Linked DNA regions of Ovis aries. The main gene of each other region encodes a partner of the protein of the gene in region 2 in a complex. Links are inferred from orthologs where the notes say so. Each region holds a gene or a part of one and is shown on either strand. Other genes may lie near its edges.

Region 1 (3,727 bases), on a different chromosome or scaffold from region 2:
AGTAAAATGCCAAGAGTATATTCCTTGAGACGATTTATTTTCATTGTTGTACTTTTGTTTTGCAACCAGAAAAAATACATTATCTTTTAAATTTTTAAAACACATTATTAAAACAAACAAACAAGCAAATATTCTTAGTCCAACTTTAGAAGGTCTCAAATTCTGCTTCTACGTCTTGCTCATTCTATTTTTTCTGCCCTAAGGGTGGCTCTGAGTAATTTCTTCTCCCTGACAGCCTTCTGGCTGACTAACTGCTAACTCTAGAGCAATTAGCAAGTGATCACATGTGCCTAGCAATGACCCATAAGAAGTTAGTCCTATCCCTGCTAAGACAATATAGCAGTATAGAAGCCTTTGGAAGAAAGAACACAGAGAATAGCATCTTAGCCCTTCTTACTTGCCAATAAAAAAGGATATGGTCACCCCAAGCCCTACTCTAATCAGTCGTGGCCAGGGGTTGCAAACTTAAATGCCTATAGGAGTATGTGACGTAAAGAAGGGAAGCCAGTGGTGGGAACTGTGGTGAAATAATAAGGACATACCTGTCTAAAGGGAGCTGTTACTTGACTCAACCAAATGTTGCTACATGAGAAACACAGGCCAAGTGCACCCCTACTTTTCAGTTGTAACAGAGAAAACAAAACTCCAGAACTTTCCGGAAAATTTCCCAGTTTTACAACATCATACAGATGATACAAAGCATATCTGTTTCGGATTCAGCCCCAAATCTGCCACTTTGTAAACTTATCTGGGTAGGAAAGATAGAAATCTTAAAAAAACTCCTAACAGTCAAACTAAATATACATGTAAAGGATAAAGAATGTCTCCCAGATCCAAGAAAACAGCAACATGACTAACCAAATGATATTAATAAGAAAGATCATGCACAGAAATGGGTGGGTATGGACAAACGTAGGTTTAAGAAAGCATAAATGTGGTTTATTCAGAACCCTGCAAGGTTGGGAAGCTTGAAATGGGGATGCATACAGTGGCAAGAAAAATCATGCTTAGCAATGAAGGATTAATTCAATGGGTTCTCCTAGTGAATAGGGAAAATATCCTTCCAGAACTCTCTGATTTCTTGCCCACTAATGAACTTGATTAAAAAAATAACAACTCACCTTCCGAGGCACTGGGATACCAGAAGTGAATGGGAAATCAGGGCATAAGCATTTAACTCACTGGAAAGGGACTTGCCCCCATTTAGAGAAAGTTAACTGTAACTGATTTCTAGCTAAATTCCATGTGCCCAGTTAATTTGGGTCTGTCATGGATCACCTATAGGTATGCTGGGAAAGTCAGTTCCCAGCCCTAAAAGACTGAGATTTGGAGTGAGTGACTCAATCAAAGTGCTAATATGTTATCTAGTGATGCAGCGAGTAGCAGCCATCACAGGATATTCCCATTCCCACCTCCTCCCCCAGCAAACTTGGCTACTGTTCTCAGTTCCCCGAGGAGCAGCTTCAATAACAACAACCAACAAAAACAAAACTTATAGGCCCTTAATAGGAAAGGAACAGTACTTACATTAACAAAATCTCCACCCTGAATCATGAAATCTTTTATGACCCTGAAACAGAGAACAAAGGATGCTGGGAGAAGATTGTGTGGTTTGGAATAACATTAATTTCAAAATATAATGTTTATCACTTCAGTCCTCAAATCAATGGTTGAGTTCACAAAAGCATCCCTTCTCAAGAACTAAGAATTATGCTATGGTTTTGTTTTCCTCTGAAGAGACTAATCCCCCAAGGAAGTAATTCTAAACCATACTAATAGTAATTTTAAAAGTCCCCCAGGATGGCTTGCCAAAGGCCTTACCTGTGGAAGGTGCTCCCCTTGTATCCTATCGGAACCCCATCTTTTCTATAAGCAAAAAGAAAGAGACTTGAAATGGTAAACAGGTAAACATAGGCCTTTCACGTTTACCATACAGTCGAGCCAGAGACACCCTTCTAAAGATGGTCGGGAGAAGAGAGACGAAGAAGGCAAATGAACTGAGGACAGACCCATAGTAATACCTTCTATTACTGTCACCAGTCATACAAGGCCTGCCGGTGATTCCCCAATACCCTCAACTGCAGCCTCAGGACAGCCCTCAGGAGCAAGCAGAGAAGTCAACCACGTCAGAGACTGACCTGAATTCTCCTGTGCAGAACTGCCTGAAAAGGAAAAGAGTGAACGATTCAGTCGCCATGGCATCACAACTCTGAGCGTCCCTAACCTCAGCGGGAAGGGGAACGTCGGCGCTAGCTAGCCCACCAACTGGCTGGTCAGACGTCCAGGCATACAGATTAACATAAACTGAAAAGGGGACGGTCAAGACTATTCAGAGAGATACCCAGAGAAGTCAGATCTCAAGGACGGTGAATGAACGGATAGAGGTAGGCAGAAGATTCCACAGACAGGCCCAGCTTCTCGTTTGGTTTATCCAGCAAAGAACATCATCTTACCTAAAATTCTCCGCCGTCTTAGGCACAACGTCTGCAAAGAGCTCAATCTTCATACGACCAACCTCCTGCAACCGGCGAGAGACGTTCAGAAAGCCCAGTCCAAGCCCGTGAAGGCCTCACCGAACAGGGAACCCTCGGGCCCCCATGCCGCTTGGTCTCTCCCACCTCCGCCTCCGTAGCCTACTCTTCCGTTCCACCCGGTCCCTCCACCAGCCGGGCGCTAGGATGCGCAAGACTCCTCCTCTTCCTACTCCCTCACCCCCGCCCCGCAGGTCGGTAGGTTCTGGTTCAATTTCACTTTTTGGCTTCCCGAGTTTGCTACACCTGAGGAGGTGATCTGCCTGCCAGACCGCGTGCACGTTCCCTTTGGCATCGGGCTGGCTGGCTGCCAAGACCTCACCTGGCCGCCAATGCTGACATCAAAGAATACCACGGGATTGACAGGGCTTGAATTTGCCACCGCCATGCCTCTGACCCGGAAGCAGAAGTCGGGAGCGCGGGGTTCCGGCGATCCTATGATCTTGCTCCGCCGGGAGGTGTTTATTTCCGGCGCAGGCGCAGGAAGAGCCGGGGGGGGGGGCGGTGCGGTGGGAGGCGGTCGGCCCCGCCCCCGGAAGCTCTCTGCCTTCGATGCCAAGCTGCGCGCTGCGTGGGTGGCCGGGGCTTCCTTCCGTTTTGACGAGTCGCAAGTTGTTACCTCACCTGAGTCTCCTTGAGCGCTGAGGCCGGAGGACATCCTCGGCTTTTTTTTCGCTCGAGGCCCACGGGCCTCTCATTCACTTGGATACAGTAAGTGCAGTACGGATGATTCTCGCTCAGGCTACGGGGCTTGGACTAGGCAGTCTTCAGGGTCTGATCAGCCTTTGCAGCCAAGACCGTCTGAACCATCATATGTGCGGCCTCTTACCCCTTTTCACTAGTCTGGAGGCCCGGAAGCAAAAACCGTGTTTATCCTCAGCGCTTTGAACAGCCTGGCATATAAGGCTTGTTCAGTATATTCAGCACTTTCATGAAGTCAGGCACTAGACTTTAATTCCAGTTCTCCCACAAGCTTCCGCTTTCATCATCTCCAAGTCACTTACTGCAGAGCAGCTAGAGCTTTTAAATGAATCTGCTTATAAATCACTCCCGGATTCCCTTATTTAGAATAAAATCCAGTTGCTACATAAAAGACCTACATTACATTATCTGGCCACCTACCTGGGACTCTAGCCTGTTCCTCTAGGTCACGGAGACTCGGATTCTATTTAGGGCCTGTTAACTGACTTTAATAT
Region 2 (3,649 bases):
TCTTCATGAAAGAAGAACTCCTAAACAGAGGCTTAGTTTCCTTTCAGTGGCCCTTAAATTCTACTACCAGCAACAGCAGAAAGATCTGAAACACCAGTGAAAGGAAATAAACACAAACCCTAAAGAGGGCAATTAAAAAGAGAACACTATTAATGTGGATACACATAACTAATCAAAGCCCTAGAGGAACAAACATTGCTACTTATTACCAAAGCCAATTAAAACTTGCTGTGCTCACAGGTAATATCCTATCTAGCAGAGTGGAGACACTAATTAGCTCCTCACAAAATCCTAGAACAAAAGCCTCATGTGCTTTCCCAAAGAAGGAAAACTAAGCAACTGAATTCAGAAGTCTTTTAGGCAACAAGGTGCTTCTAACTATTTCTTGGAAAACAATAAATAATCACAAACACATTAAAACAGACAAGCCTGTTGTACTTGGAAAATATGGTTTAGGTAAAGTATGATGAAATTGTGAGCATACCACTTCCTTGGCAATACTGCTGGACATAGCCTTCTTTCTCTCCCCTGCGGCTGTTTGCTAAGAACCAATGTGTTGTCTGGAGTATTATTTTCAGTCAATCTACCAAATAGCGCATTTCTCCAACGTCAATCTACTGCAATGGCAGGTATAATAGATCGTTCCAGAATAACGAGCCAGGAAACAGTGGTCACTGTTTAGAGGCAAAAACCAAGGTACAGAGTTCTAGGTCCCTAGGGCCAACCAATCAACTGTTTACTGTGGTGACTGCCGTGCGGACAGAGCAGTAATATTCACCTGTCAAGGCTCCACAGTTTCACAGAACCATCAGCAGCACAAGAGGCCAGATTGACGTCTTTTTGGTCCAAGGAGACCGTGGATTTGGGATGGAATACGATCGCTCCCACGTTTGTGTTATGGCCTGAAGGAGTGTAAGAGATGGAAATTAAAGGGCTGCTGTTCCGTTATAACTTAAGTGTAAATATACACAATGAGGAATATTATATATACACATTTCAGAAAACGTGAACCTATAAAGTATTATTCAACTACTAAAAAACTGAACTTTTAAAATTTAAACGTATAAATTACATTAAAAAAAAAGCTAAACACATACAAAAAAGTTTCTTGCTTTAGAGACTGCAAATGCCAGAGTAGGGCTGGACATGAGAGAGAAATATGCGTATGATATCATTATCATTCAGCCTTGCAGTCAAAGAAAACCAAACCAAGTCAGATCATATCAAGAATTAATTGTGTGTGTACTGGGTTTGAGTGTCCGGTAGAGCTTTAAGAGCTATACTGCTTGATAAGAGTTTGAACTGGGAAAAAGACCAAGCTTTGGGTAAGAGTCTAACTCACCTCGCAGAGTGTGAAGGAGGTTGCAATCCGGAACAGACCAGAGCTTGCAGAGCCCACTCCTATCAAACACAAAGGAAAGCACCTCAGCCAGGGTTGGTCTGGGAAGGAAAAGGTATCTTGGTAACATTACTAAAGGACAGTATCTTCTTACCCCCAAAAATAGTTATAGCGGCAGTCAAAAAAGAAAAGACTTATCATTTGAAGGGTTATATAAGAAAGCTATAACCAGGTCTGAAGCAAACAAAGGCCTCTACTGGACTATAAATATTATAGCACAAGTTGCTCTTCTCCTTAACTTTTAGACCAATTTCTAGGCAAAGTAGGAGAAATTAAATTATCTAACTATAATATTAATAATGATACTATCTCCTTAAATATGAATAGCATATTACTTACAAAGTAATTAAATTTTAAAAACTGCTTTATTTTGAAAAATTCCAACAAATTACTTTTATATCATCTCAGATGACCATTGTAACAGATTTGTGAGGTACATAAGACAGGAATGATCATTTCTATTCTACTTGTGCGTTCGTTTTATTTTCTGTAATTAACTTTTTAAATTGGAGTATAGATGATTTACAATGTTGTGTCAGTTTCTGCTGCACAGCAGTGAGTCATTTCTGCTTCATAATAAAGACGGCTAAGGCTTTGAAGAGGTGGACGATCTACATATGTCCTTGGTTTTCTCCTGAACTGGTCTTGATTTTTGCCTAGTCAGGTAGCTTCTGTGTGTACAATGTAAGGAAGATAGCCCCTCACTAGATGACAATGTCCCACAAGAACACTAAGTGACTGAACAGAACAAAACACCAAAGTTTTCACATCTTAAAAGTTTTTTGCATATGCGATGGCAAACAGAAAACAGAATAAACACAAAAACGGTAATTTGCTTTGCTTTACAGATAAAGAAACTGAAGCTTACACAGAAGTATCTTGCTTAGGTCACATAACTAATAAAGAAAAGCTATATCAAGGTGTGTATAATTAGTCTATAAACTCCTTGTATTAATATATCTGCTCCAAAATGATGCTAATGCCAAGAATATGACTGACACATGAGAACTGAAAGCTCTATTATAAACTACAATGGGTACACATTACCACCTCTAGTTTGATGTGATCATGAGCAGCAGAGGAAAATGGGATGGCAATGGCCTTCTATTTATTTTTCACCTTTTTTTTGAAAGTAGCTCAGTCACATCTGACTCTTTGCGACCCCATGGACTATACAGTCCATGAATTCTCAAGGCCACAATACCGGAGTGGGTAGCCTTTCCCTTCTCCAGGAGATCTTCCCAACCCAGGGATTGAACACAGGTTTCCCACAATGCAGGCGGATTCTTTACCAGCCGAGCCACCAGGGAAGCCAAGCAATGGCCTTCGAAAACAAATGTTGACTTTCCCCCCAGAACCCCATTCAGGGAAAAGAAAACAAACCACTGTAAGATGGGGACTTACCAACAAGCTGTGGCCAGCATTTTGGAATTGGGACTAAAGTGACAGTAGGAGATAGGCCGGTCATCCCCAATCTGACTGCAGAAATTATTCAAAGACTTAAAGAAAAGACAAACAAGCAATCATTAAATGCTAACCCAAGACTTTCTTGGCTTTTCCACCACCACAACAACAACAACAACAAAAACCTTTTCAGTTTTAACCCACCCTAAGATTCCCCACCCCTCCTCTTTTGTCAGAAGACACTTCTACAAATGAATGAACGAACCGAGTCAAGGCTTATCTGGAACTCCCTCATGCTGTCATCTACAGACTGTGTCGACAGCGTCTCTGTCCACTAAATATAAACCAGAAAGCCATGGCAAGCCTTAAAGCACAGTCTAACATATTAAAAGGGAGAAGTACAGCACAGAACCACAGGCGCCTGCCTCGTACAAAGTACAGCAGGTTCCCTGGCACCTTAACGGACCAATCCTCTCAAGCAGCAACAGTGCAAGCAAAGATGTACGGCTGCCTTTTATTTGTTAGAGGTGGGCCAAGGTAGAACATTTAATAAACACTGCAAGAAATCTTTAAAACATCAGGCAATCATGGGGAGCGTCTTACCCGGAGAGATTTGTGCAGCTCTTGCATCTGGGAGGTTCTAGTTGTCTCAGGAATCTCTTTATGAAGACGGGCCTCTTCTAAGCGTTTCATTGCCCTGTAACACAGAAAACATTACCCTGGGCAAACTGGCTGGAAACAAGGGTCCACAGAAGTCTCTGTACCACTCAATTTCAACTAACAACCACAGTCATTATAAAGCAGATCCTCAGTCCCTGAGAGGAAACAAGAAGCATGCTTCTTCCT
Region 3 (3,749 bases), on a different chromosome or scaffold from region 2:
TTCAACAGTTAATTCTTGGTAAAATAAATGATTAAAAAGCACAAGCAGGGACTTCACTGGTGGTGCAATGATTAAGACTCCATGCTCCCAATGCAGCGGGCCCAGGTTTGATCCTTGGTCAAGGAACTGGATCCCACATGTTGCAACTAAGTAAAGATCTTCTGTGATGCAACTAAGACCCAATGCAGCCAAATAAAAAAATAAATAAATATTTTAAAAATACATAAGATAAAAGGTATAAACAAACTAATCTTAGGCCTAATGTCATCTTCAACAGTTTGGCCACAGAATCCTGATCAGCAGAGCATTCCCTTCCCACCCTAAGCACCACTGGGCCAAGAACATTGAGTCAATCAAGTCAGTTCTGTAATCCCTGCCCCACAAAGATGGCTTAACATCTAAATAAAAGACCTTCACTGTCTTACCATTGTTATATTATTTCCATTTAGCAAAATTTGATCTAATTTAGTAATTCTTCTTCCTTCTGGTGTGATTTCACTAAACAAAAAGATTTTCAAAAAGTCAGGATAAAGAGTGATAATCAAAGCCAACATTCTGATCCACCAAAAGGTTAGTTACTATATATAAATGAACTGTACACTTTCCAGAGACAAGGTTATCCCCATGGTGATGTCAATTCTCCAAAGGCAAGAGAGTGGACTGACTGGCCTAAGACCCACATCCACTAGTGCAGATCTTCATCTAAAAAACTGAAACTTACCAAGGAGATCAAATATGAAATAAAATGTTTATATATATATATATACACATAAGTTTTAGAGTAACTAATTTAAAACATTAAATGTTTTTATTATAAGTTCCTTTATTTGATCTGAGCGCTAAGATCCCTGGCTGCTTTTAGTATCTTTTACCTTAAACCTTTGTCTCCACTAACTTCCTAGCAATTAGTGACAATTAAATTATGGTAATAATCCTCCAATCCAATTTTACTAACATCAGTAGGTAAACTTTCTCTCTTTAGAGTAATTCAAACAGGCAGTGTGCTCTCCTACATCCTTTTACTGACTCAACAGCACTAAAACTGCCTTAAATCAAACAGAGATTCCCCCTACCCATTCTTTAATTTTTAACACTACTCACAATTCAGTGACATCTTCCAATACCATATCTGAAATTTGGTGTTAAGAAAATAAACATACCAAATTAAATTTACTCTGGCTTATTTCTTTGTTCAGTTTTAATTATAACATTGAATACAATGGCTCAAATGCAAGCTGCGTGCAATTGGTAGGAACTTCATCTTTCAGTACCACAATCCCTTAAAACACTATCACAATTTCCAAAAAAATAAATTAAACTTTATTATAATAATCGGTAAGTACTGATAGTCTATAGTTCTTTTTTAAAAATCTGAAGAAAAATCCATACAACCACCTTTTAAAAGGATACTGACAAAGTCATCAAATCCCAGAAGTGTGCCAACAATCTCTTTATCACTCTTCATCACAATGTGAATTCTTGATCCTATACACTTGTCCACAAGCTCTGCAGATAAGGGCGGGAGAGAGAAGATTAGTTTGCCCATTCATAACATTAACAAATATTTGAATGCCTACTGACACTTGTTACATGCATATGGTGAAAAGATAAGCCAGGAAAAGTATTCACTCCAAAACTTTAGACCTTATGTTACATATCTCTGTTCAGTCATTCTATTAAAAGGACAGTTTTCCCTCCCTGTTATTCATTTAACCCTCCTTTGTAGCAATTTATCATGGTTGTAGTTTAATACTATTTTAGTTATCTGATTAACATATGAACGCCCCTCTTGACTCTAAGCTGAAAGAGAGCTGAGAGGTGGTTTTTACTCATCAGTGTATCCCCAGTGGACAATGCCTGAAATGTACTGGTCATTCAGAAGAATTTGTTCCAGGATGGAAAAAAACCTTTACAATAACTGCCACATCCACTAACCCGATAACCCTTCAAATATAAAATATTAAGGGGAAAAAAAAGGCAGAACTGTCTTCACCAGAGATTCCTCCTTGTCATTAAGTCTATGTCTGCCCTGTATCCTGTTTCCTACACTGGTTTGTATGCTATCTGAAGGTAATGGCCGTGATTTAAATTTGTTGAACAGTGCCCAATCACAGTGTCTAGTGCACAGATGGCGCGGTAACTGCTTGCTGAATAAATGAGTAACAAGAGCTAGTTTTCAGAGGCCTCTTTAAAGGCTCATTCCAGACCCAAGTGCCTCACTCAGAAACCAGCCAGACAGGATATAACCCGGGTAGTTTAAAAGCCCGGTTGCGGAATGGGCCTCTTACTATTATAAAGGCGAGCACCCAACAAAGAAGGTCAACGACACATTCACCAAGACTGAACCTTTCCGGTGAAGGTTTGGGGAGTCAAAAACCCCTGCCTCAAGAAGACTCCCCCACGCCAGAGAGACTTGTGCGGCCTCAGGCCGCCGAGACTTGGAGCCTAAAGGAGAGCTGCAGAGAAAGCTACGTTTTTCTAACACTCGGTCAGGGACTGCCTTGCTCTTCGGCCCCAACCCTAACTTTCAACTCCCCGCCCCGGCTCCCCAACAGGACAAAGATTACCTAGAGGAAGCAGCTGCGACGGGTTAGTGGTAGCGTTAGCCGCCATGGCTACGCCGGAAGTGGCCTGCCTCTATCGACGTCGGAACGGCGAGTTTGAAAGAGCGCGCTTCCGCTTTTTTCCGGCCCAGGCAGGCTCGACCAATCTGAGGCCGAGAGTGCGATTGAGGAGATCCAGCCACTTCTTTATCCTGCAGGGAGATTCTAGAAAGTGTTTCTGTTCACTGAGCGTTCTAGGTTCTCCACAGATAACTCGCCTCTCCAAACTTCCAAGAGACTTTAGAGATCTCCGGTCTTATAAATAAGTTATTTCTCTAATCCGGAAGCCTGCGAAACGGAAGCCTTTGTGCTGTCTTATTTCCCCTTATCGAGGTGTGTCTCATATCAACCCAGGATCTTTCTTCGACCAGAATCAATAAATTTGATTTTCCCGCCACCGATTCATTGTGTTGCAATTTTCGTTAAAAAAAAAAATCTACCGCTTCTTTTAAAAGTTTGATGATTTGAAAACCCACAACTAGCATTTTTAATAAAGTTTGTTGGGCGAGGGGGAAATTTTAAGTATGTTTTCTATTTTCTACTATCGTTTTCTTTTTCTATTTTTCTATTCTACTTTTTCAATTTTTTCCATTTCTATTGTTTTCTATCTTCTACTATCAGGAGTTGGTGATGGACAGGGAAGCCTGGTGTGCTGCAGTCCATGGGGTCGCAAAGAGTCGGACAAAACAGTGACAGAACTGAACTGTCCTTTTTAATCTTGTAATATCTAGGAGTCTGCTATACATTTTGTATACACTATTTCTTCCACAGTCCAACAGGCAACCACCAGATGTCATTCTATGTTAATAACATCACATTTAGGAAGCCTTGCTGCTTTTACGCATCTGTTTTGAAAAGAAAAAGCGAACAAATTTTTTGCGTTGGTCTATTTTATGTTTATATCTGAGGAGCTTAAAGCTAAAGAGTTTAAGCAGGAAAGGCCAGGAAGGACATCATTCATTCACACAATGGCTGCAAAGCACCAATCATTCATTCATCGAACAAATACTTTAGTTGAACATTGGCATTTTGCTCAGTATAACCAGCGTAAAGAACAGAACTACAACGTCTTCTGCCCTTATAGGAGCTAAAGGATAAATGGGGGAGAAAGACAACTAGCAAGCATTATGTACAAAGCACGTGGAA

Evidence for each region.
Region 1: the proteins of PRPF4 (region 2) and PPIH are in contact, whole or in part, in a crystal structure (PDB 1MZW), measured with the Homo sapiens proteins. The link is inferred for Ovis aries from reciprocal best matches to the Homo sapiens genes PRPF4 and PPIH. Residues at the interface, in NP_004688.2 of Homo sapiens: Arg113, Gly116, Glu117, Pro118, Ile119, Thr120, Leu121, Phe122, Gly123, Glu124; in NP_006338.1 of Homo sapiens: Phe14, Arg26, Phe46, Cys47, Thr48, Gly49, Pro57, Ile58, Gly59, Tyr60, Lys61, Gln173, Cys174, Gly175, Glu176, Met177.
Region 3: PRPF4 (region 2) and LSM5 share a complex: the UniProt entries of both Homo sapiens proteins name them as parts of the precatalytic spliceosome. The link is inferred for Ovis aries from reciprocal best matches to the Homo sapiens genes PRPF4 and LSM5.

The regions. Positions count from the first base shown.
Region 1 is NC_056054.1:17,161,880-17,165,606, reverse strand, and holds the start of PPIH (peptidyl-prolyl cis-trans isomerase H), read right to left. Parts: upstream 2,944-3,727; 5' UTR 2,920-2,943; coding exon 2,854-2,919; exon of another isoform or gene 2,519-2,853; coding exon 2,454-2,518; intron 2,163-2,453; coding exon 2,139-2,162; exon of another isoform or gene 2,045-2,138; coding exon of another isoform or gene 2,022-2,044; intron 1,867-2,021; coding exon 1,822-1,866; intron 1,571-1,821; coding exon 1,528-1,570; intron 1-1,527. UniProt on the Homo sapiens protein: PPIase that catalyzes the cis-trans isomerization of proline imidic peptide bonds in oligopeptides and may therefore assist protein folding. Participates in pre-mRNA splicing.
Region 2 is NC_056055.1:10,436,347-10,439,995, forward strand, and holds part of PRPF4 (U4/U6 small nuclear ribonucleoprotein Prp4), read right to left. Parts: intron 3,501-3,649; coding exon 3,407-3,500; intron 2,899-3,406; coding exon 2,804-2,898; intron 1,402-2,803; coding exon 1,343-1,401; intron 903-1,342; coding exon 779-902; intron 1-778. UniProt on the Homo sapiens protein: Plays a role in pre-mRNA splicing as component of the U4/U6-U5 tri-snRNP complex that is involved in spliceosome assembly, and as component of the precatalytic spliceosome (spliceosome B complex).
Region 3 is NC_056057.1:65,579,293-65,583,041, reverse strand, and holds the start of LSM5 (U6 snRNA-associated Sm-like protein LSm5), read right to left. Parts: upstream 2,634-3,749; 5' UTR 2,614-2,633; coding exon 2,568-2,613; intron 1,507-2,567; coding exon 1,411-1,506; intron 1,130-1,410; coding exon 1,102-1,129; intron 499-1,101; coding exon 426-498; intron 1-425. UniProt on the Homo sapiens protein: Plays a role in pre-mRNA splicing as component of the U4/U6-U5 tri-snRNP complex that is involved in spliceosome assembly, and as component of the precatalytic spliceosome (spliceosome B complex).